Linked DNA regions of Nothobranchius furzeri. The protein of the gene in region 2 purifies or fractionates together with the protein of the main gene of each other region. This does not show direct contact. Links are inferred from orthologs where the notes say so. Each region holds a gene or a part of one and is shown on either strand. Other genes may lie near its edges.

Region 1 (3,919 bases), on a different chromosome or scaffold from region 2:
ATTGAAGGTAATCAGAAGTGAGGAACAGAAAATGAAATAATTATTTTAATGTTTAGAGCAGCAGGAACTCTGAGAGGCTGCAGGCGCATCAGTGAGTTTGCGGCCGCTGCGCAGGGGGAGGGGGGAGAGGGCTGAAGCAGAAACTACCGTTATTAAAAGAGATGTGTTTAACTTTGAAAATGTGGGCGCAATTTTATTGGTCGAAAACTCCAGCGAACCAACCGACCCTCCCCATTTCCATTTCAAAAGCGAGCACATGTGTGTGTGTGTGTGTGTGTGTGTGTGTGTGTGTGTGTGTGTGTGTGTGTGTTTGTGTGTGTGTGTGTAACCATCTACACAACTAAGTGAGGACCAAAACAAGCTTTTTACCAGCAAACTAAGGACATCTTGCTGGTTCTCACTATGGGACAATGCCACATAGCTCTACTGGTTAGTTTTAGAGGTATGATGTGAATGAAGTTCAAGTCAGGGTTAGGGTTAAGAGTAGACTGGCTATGGCTAGAGGTAGGGTTAGTCACAATACAGTCACTAAAATGAATGGAAGTCAATGGTGGTCCTTGCAACAAATGCTAGACTAGAGTGTTTGTGTGTGTGTGTCAGGGGCAGCAGTAGCTCAGGAGTTAGGGCGTGTTGTCTGGGAATTGGAAGGTTGTAGGTTCGATCCCGGCTTCCGGCAGAGAATGCAAATCTAACCGTCCTTGCCTGTTGGTGGTGGTCAGACCGGTGGCGCCTGTATTCGGCAGACCTCACCTCTGTCAGTGCACCCCAGGGCAGCTGTGGCTACATTGTAGCTCATCATTACCAGTGTGTGAATGTGTGGATGACAGATTGTGTTGTGAAGCACGTTGGGGGTTGTAGAACCCTAGAAGGCGCTATAAAAATACAGGCCATTTATTATTATTATTGCTATTATTATTATTATTATTATTATTATTGTTATTATTATTGTTGTTGTTATTACCCTTTTATGGGTATTATGTGTATTTTATCTCAGATCTTTGATGTGTTTTTTCATTGAAAATTCAAATATATGGGTTATTTTCTTGTCAGATTTTGTGGCTTTATGAATTTTGTCATTTCATGTATGTAAATACTTTGCACATGTACACAAAGTTTATTTATGAATAATCTTTTAGTATGCTACTATTCAATGGTATTGTTGCATTTTTCAGTAAATATGTTGTTACTTTTCTTTAGTAAGTCTTAGCTGCTAATTCTATATTTGATTTCATAAAATAAAACAAAAACAAAAGATTGTATTTTATCTTCTAAAGAAATACATTTTTATTTTATCTGTCAAAGTCCTTCACCACGTGAAAATACACAACCAATGAGCAGCCAGTGGGGGCGGGTTTTAACTTGTCACAGCTACGTGTCTCAGAAAACAGGAAGTAAATAAAGAAGAGTCACGGAAGCCGCTGGTGAGTGAGTAGACCTGACTTTTATGTCCAGAAAACTACCAATAACTTACACAAAGAGCTACTTTTATGACAGCCGAATGAAGGCAAGTTGTTTCATCATGTTAATAATAGCGGTTAAGTCGTGAATGGCAGAACTGTGAAGTCAGTCGGCCGCCTCTCATCTTTCTCTGCTACTTGTTAACTGGAGTTCGTTTGCATGTCATTAATTGTCGGACTTTTGTCGGTTTATTCGTTGATTTCACGCTGATGCGTTCACGAGCACACGGTGAAGAGACGCACGGAGCGTACCGGGAGACCAGTCAGACCTGTGCTGTTAATGGTGTCAGCTGTCATTCATTTCTAATTCAGCCGCACATGAATGAGTCTGAGCAGCACTTTCATCACCGTTGTCCAGACTGACTTAGCATGGCTTTATCAATGTTCAGGTCAAGAATGAAAGCAGCTTATTCCGTTATTAGAGTAACTTTTATAGCTGCTGCTTTTGTTTGCATTTTAGTTTTTTCTCCTTTATTTAATATTTAAAAAGTCTCCTAGCAAAATGTCTTCTTGGGTATTTTTGTGGTTGCTGCAGCAGGAATCTTTTATAATAGGACTGTGAATTCCCTGCCTTGTCCTCTTCTGTTCCACATTTATGATTTAATCTGCTTCGTCTCATCTTTGCATGACAACAGCACACAGCACATCACTGGCATATATCAGCTTGTAAGCCAAGATGCTTGTATTTATTTACTAAACAGTTTTCTCTGGTTTGATTAAAATATCTTAAACTGCTTATGTGGTAAAATGAACTCTAATAATCTAAAGGTGACCTTGGATCTTTTCGCTTTGTCATGCTGGTTTGGATCATTTGAAAATAGATTTGATCATCTGCTAAATCTTTAGACATTGAAATAAGATAGAAAGGTAATTGTTCCTGCAGCCGGCATACACCAGTGGACCTATAAAGCTGTGAGTCAGCCTGTTGGGTTTGGTCACAGAGATGTAAATAAAGAAATCCAGGATATTTGGACCAGAGCAAACAGGACTCGGTGAATATTTGCCTCATACTGAAACAAACTATGGGTGTGTTCCCTAAGCTGTAATCTTTTGGTTTAGAGGAGTCAAGTGACTAAACAAGTAATCAGAGAACAGGTCGGATCGACTCACTCCTTGTCACTATTGATGATTTTTCAAACAGATGCTGATTAAATGCTGAATTTTTGTTGCAGTTAAACTCGTCCTAAGTACCAGTGCCTAGATGGGGAAGATATTTGCTTGTATGTTTGTTTAAGAGCATTAAAACTGATATTTGAGATGTTTAACCCTCCCACTGTCCTAATGGGTCTGACCCCGTGAGGAAAGTTGACCATGGACCACGTTGGGTCCATGTGGCAGGAGTGAGCACCACCTCATCCCTGCCACATGGACCTCAATCCTGCTCAATGGTCAACTTTCCTTGCGGGGTCACCCATAAAGACAGTGGGGGGGAGGGTTAAAGGTGGGTTTCTGTGGAAACGGTAACATCTCACCTGTTGTTGTTTGCGATGGGTTAACTGGGGTTAATTGTCACAATGGTTAATCCATGCAACTCTAACTGTGAGTCCATCGTTGTTCCACCAGTCCACAGGATTTGTTTCTAGCCCAACGTGGCTGTTGCTATGAACGTTTTAAACCCCAACGCCCATGCTATTCGTGACGGACGCAAAATAGCTGTCACCGAGCAGGACTGCCAATGTGGAGACTGAGCTGTCTCCTGGCCTCAGTTTCCGTTTGGATCCTTCTCCCTGTTTTGCCAGGCTATGAAATGAAAATGATAGTTAGCTCTGTTGCTAACATCTCCTGTGTAGAGAAATAGAGTGATGTAACGATCTAGAGTTGTATTTTAATATACTGTAAGTAGATCTAGTTTTTATAATCAGAAGAATAGGTTGTTTTTATCATCAGGGAGTTCATTTAACACTCTGTATTGACCTTGAGACAAGAAAAGAGAGAGTTGGGCTCGTTTAAGAATTTTATTATAAATTCTACAATCTATCAGGACTAACTCTGTGTTGTTTGGAAATGAATGTGATGTTCGATGTGTGTGTGTGTGTGTGTGTGTGTGTGTGTGTGTGTGTGTGTGTGTGTGTGTGTGTGTGTGTGTGTGTGTGTGTGTGTGTGTGTGTGTGTGTGTGTGTGTGTGTGTGTGTGTGTGTGTGTGTGTGTGTGGTTGGTTCAGACTCCTTAGGCTGACGTCATTGAATCTGGTAGTCTTTGATTGCTATGACTAGATATCACGAGGCTTATAAAGTGATGACATGAGCTGCTATTTTGCCGTGTACATACCCAGTGGGGGCCTCCCAGGTAGATCAGGAAATGCCAGGTCTGGAGACCTCGGATGTGCGCTGGAGCTGGTCGAAACGGCGATCGCAGCGTTTCAAAGCCCGTCTGAAGGGTCGACCCAGGTAACAATCGGCAGCGTCAGCAGGTGCTCTTATTTTGAAAGGATGTCGTCTGGTTGTTAAACGACGAAAATCTCC
Region 2 (3,919 bases):
TGTGGCCAGATAGGGGGGAGCACCACCCTGGAAGAAATGATAAACAAAGACGAGTATTTTGAACTGTGAGCGATAGGAAATCGGAAGCCAGTGCAGGGAGGCCAGAACTGGACTGATGTGGTCCCGTTTCCTGGTCCCAGTCAGGAACCTGGCAGCGCTGTTCTGCACAACCTGTAGGCGACGCAGTGTTGACTGACACAACCCTGCGAAGAGAGAGCTGCAGTAGTCAAGACGAGAAATTACAAAGGCATGCAGTACCCGCTCCAGGTGGGCTCTCGACAGCATATGCTTGATTTTAGCAAGGCGTCTCAGGTGAAAGAAACTGGACCGGATCACAGAATTGATGTGAGCATCAAATTTAAGTCCTACATCAAGTTTCACCCCCAAACTGGTAACAGCTGAATGGATAAAACAACAAGTTATACACATGTAATATTTATACATCTGATACAATTCAGATCACCTTCAAAACTCAGTCACACACCCAGGGCCGTTTCAAGGCATTTTGGGGGCCAAGGCAAAATGACCCCCCCCCCCCCCCCATAACTGGGCTCCCCAGAAGCCTCTGTGTAATCCATACCCTCTCCAGGAGTATTAGTTATACAGTGTTTACAAAAAACCCTCAGACATTACTGACATGTTCTAATATTATCAGATGAAAAACTAAATTATCAGACATGCTGTCTCATCTGCTTCTTTTCTAACTTACAAAAAGTAACAAAACCATTTGAAAGCCACTATTTGTGGATTCTCTGAAAGTTTCCATGGAGTGTGTGACAACTTATTTTTTCATTGATCCTATCGTCTAATCTCACAGCTGAAACAAGCATCCTTAATAATCTGTGCACAGGAAGCTTACCGATGCTGTAGTAAAACAAAAGGTATAATAATTTATTATTAATAAAACCTTGTTGCAGCACTAAAGCAGAAAAATGAGATTTTGTAATAAATATGCAAAATATTTACATATGAATTGTTTTAGAGCCCTTTTATTGGCAGAATCTGATATTAATTTAGTTCTTACAAAACATGGGTCCCAACATGGTTTGTGTGGCGTTGCCATAGTGTGACGTCATAGGCACAGATCCCCTGTCCTCTTGTGTGGAAATGGAAATATGATCACCCTATGTTAAACAAACTGTCCACCCGGGCTTTTGCGCTGCACAGAGACGCTTCGCTGCCTATGACTGAACGTCAGTTGAGAGTCAGTCTCATGCAGACTGATCAATGAAGAGAGGGCCTCAAGTTAAGACCCTCTCCTCATTGGTCAGTCCACACGAGGTGGGTCAAAGGTTACCCTGAGCAGGTTACATGATGTCAGGCATTCAAGTATTGAGTATACTTACTGCATATTACAGAAAAATATTTTGTATGTGACCACATTATGGTGATCCTTGGGTCGTGATGATGGAGCCCTTGAATATTGTTGCCCAGGGTACAACGAAGTGTTAATCTGGCCCTGGTCCTAGTGCGCGTGCGTGTGTTCTCTCGCAGCTGGAGGTGGGTTCTGCAGCAGCTGTGGGTTTACAACGTGCGCGCGCGTCGGGTGGGGTGGGGGGTGAAGAATCGGCGCTAGGACCGCGGTTCCGTCAGTGCGCTGATCCCAGCAGAGAGGCAGATCTCCGGCTGAAGAAGAGCTGCTCTCTGGCTGTCTGTCTGCTCTGCGGTCCGACTCATCACCTCTCGCCGCGTACCGGACCAGAACCAGCCGGGCTCGCCTCCGGTGGCCTCCTTATGGGCTCACCATGCGCAGGATTCGGGCCAACGCCATCGCCATTCTGACAGTCGCGTGGATCTTGGGAACGTTTTATTACCTGTGGCAGGACCAGAAGCCCCAGTCTGTTCCGTCGGTGGCGGCGCAGACCCGCGTCCGGAACCACGGACAGAAGGGGGTCCCCGGTCGGCTGGAGATCCACCGAGACGAGCGGACCATCCCGCTGATTGTGAGTGAGCGGTTCGGTGGTTCTGTGGCTGGAGGCTGGAGCGTGCGTGCGTGTGTGTGCGTGCGGTGCACGCCTGTGTGCATGAAACTTGGACTGATGGTGCAGCTCAGCTGGATGTCACAGCCAGATCACATCCTCCCGAACCCGAACCGGAGAAGTTACCCTCCAGGAGCGCAAGTGGATAAAACAAAGGGTTCGGGTCGGGATCCTTAGGCCCATCTCAGTCTGCCGAACAGAAACATTCAGACAGAACCCCAGCTGAGATTAGAAGATCCGGTCGAACAGAAGGAGATAAAAGCTTCCTAACAGTTATTTGGGCTCATTTAGGGGGTTATAAGTCATAAATCTGTGTCCACTTCTAGCTCCTCCTAACATGGATCTGTTTATTATCAGCAGCTTTTCCTATATGCTAAATCATGAATACAAATATAATCAGATAAATGTATATTTAGCTAACCAGTGGATTCCCATAGCTGTGAGGTTGACCTCTGACCCTTGAGCTGACCTGTGCTTTGGTTCCCTGCTGTATTATTTAGATGTTTGCTATGATTGGCTGTTATTTAATCCCATTCCTGCTGTCTTTAACAACAGATCTAAAGTCGTAAATGTGGGTTTGGATCCCTTATTCATGTTCCTGTCTGGGTTCTGACATTTAGATCCTCCTAACAGTGGGACTTTAATTATTAGGAGGAACTTTTTTTGTATTTAGATTCGGTTATGTTGATGTAAAGAGTTGTTATGTTTTGTAATCTGCCCTCCATAGTTAGATTTTCACACAGTAGAAGATGAATAATCTCAGTCTGAGCTGTGGTCGGGCCCCTGCAGGGTTCCAGGGTTCCTGACCGTCCCCTCCTGTATGACATGACTGAGTGACTGTGATTGGATAAATCAGATCTGGACCTAGTTTGACTTTCGGAGACGTCCACAGGCTGAACACTGTTAAACAGGCACTCCTGCGGCGTGTTTTGTAATAGTGGGTTTGTCCGCGGGATCATTGACCCCTCACCCAGCTGAGATGTCCTCGTTGTTTGTTTTGGTGGACTGACCCGATGCCTGCTGGATATATGGACACCACATCCTTGTGCTGACCCGTTCCTCCTCCTTCTTCCCTCCATCCATGACTTTCTTTTCCTCCCCTGAGGTTTCATCAGCTCAGTGTGTTTCTGTCAGTCCTTCTGTTTGTTTTCCTTACCTCCGTCTCTTCCTGGATCTGAGCCCTCGTCTGTGGATCTCCTCCATCTCTCTGCCCTACACTCATTAGCTACAGTGAGGACATCATCTGTTACTGCTGGTTCCACATCGCTCCTCCATTTTTCTTCTAATTCCTCAGCACTGTGTCTAACTTCACAGGAACACATGAGAACTTTTTCAAATTCCTTTTCCCGAACTCTGATCTAACCACGTTGCAAACAAATGACTTCAGCCCACCTCCGTGCTTCTTATCAACAAACCCGTCACCGTGTAACATTTATTCTCTGATCAGTCGCTGCGTGGACCCCGATCAGGCTGCTGGGTTTTGTGCTTTTGTTGGTTTTTAGGGTTGGATAAGACCACGTTAGGACTTGACAAGAGGACCTGGATCACATCTGCTGATGATGATCATGTTTGGGAACTTTTACTCAGAAAAAACGTGTGACAAAACCCATTAGAGGGAAGAAGTTTAACATAAACTTGGTTTAATCTGAAAACAACAAAAATAATTTGAATTTTAGAAGTTAAATAATTGAAATAACATTTCTATTTAAAGTAAAGCATTAAATTAGAAACATGATACTTGAGTATACGTAGTTTCTGAGCCAGGTGTAAGTCAGCAATTCTACATTTTCTCTATGAGGAAAGGTTGTTTCATAATCTTACCAACAATCGGATCAGGTACCTTTAAATGAACTCCTCCACCAGCTCCTCCAGAGGGACTCGAGGCGCTCCCAGACCAGCTTAGTTACATGATACCTCCAGAGAGTCCGGGTCAACCTAGG

What was found.
Region 1: the proteins of galnt16 (region 2) and zinc transporter ZIP11 purify together in Homo sapiens (co-immunoprecipitation; 3 studies listed by BioGRID and IntAct, counting the BioPlex papers as one, with this or other methods). This does not show direct contact. The link is inferred for Nothobranchius furzeri from reciprocal best matches to the Homo sapiens genes GALNT16 and SLC39A11.

What each region holds. Positions count from the first base shown.
Region 1 is NC_091756.1:23,976,361-23,980,279, reverse strand, and holds the start of zinc transporter ZIP11, read left to right. Parts: upstream 1-1,361; 5' UTR 1,362-1,421; exon of another isoform or gene 1,422-1,504; intron 1,505-3,919. UniProt on the Homo sapiens protein: Zinc importer that regulates cytosolic zinc concentrations either via zinc influx from the extracellular compartment or efflux from intracellular organelles such as Golgi apparatus. May transport copper ions as well.
Region 2 is NC_091758.1:16,994,418-16,998,336, reverse strand, and holds the start of galnt16 (polypeptide N-acetylgalactosaminyltransferase 16), read left to right. Parts: upstream 1-1,532; 5' UTR 1,533-1,745; coding exon 1,746-1,943; intron 1,944-1,949; exon of another isoform or gene 1,950-3,919. UniProt on the Homo sapiens protein: Catalyzes the initial reaction in O-linked oligosaccharide biosynthesis, the transfer of an N-acetyl-D-galactosamine residue to a serine or threonine residue on the protein receptor.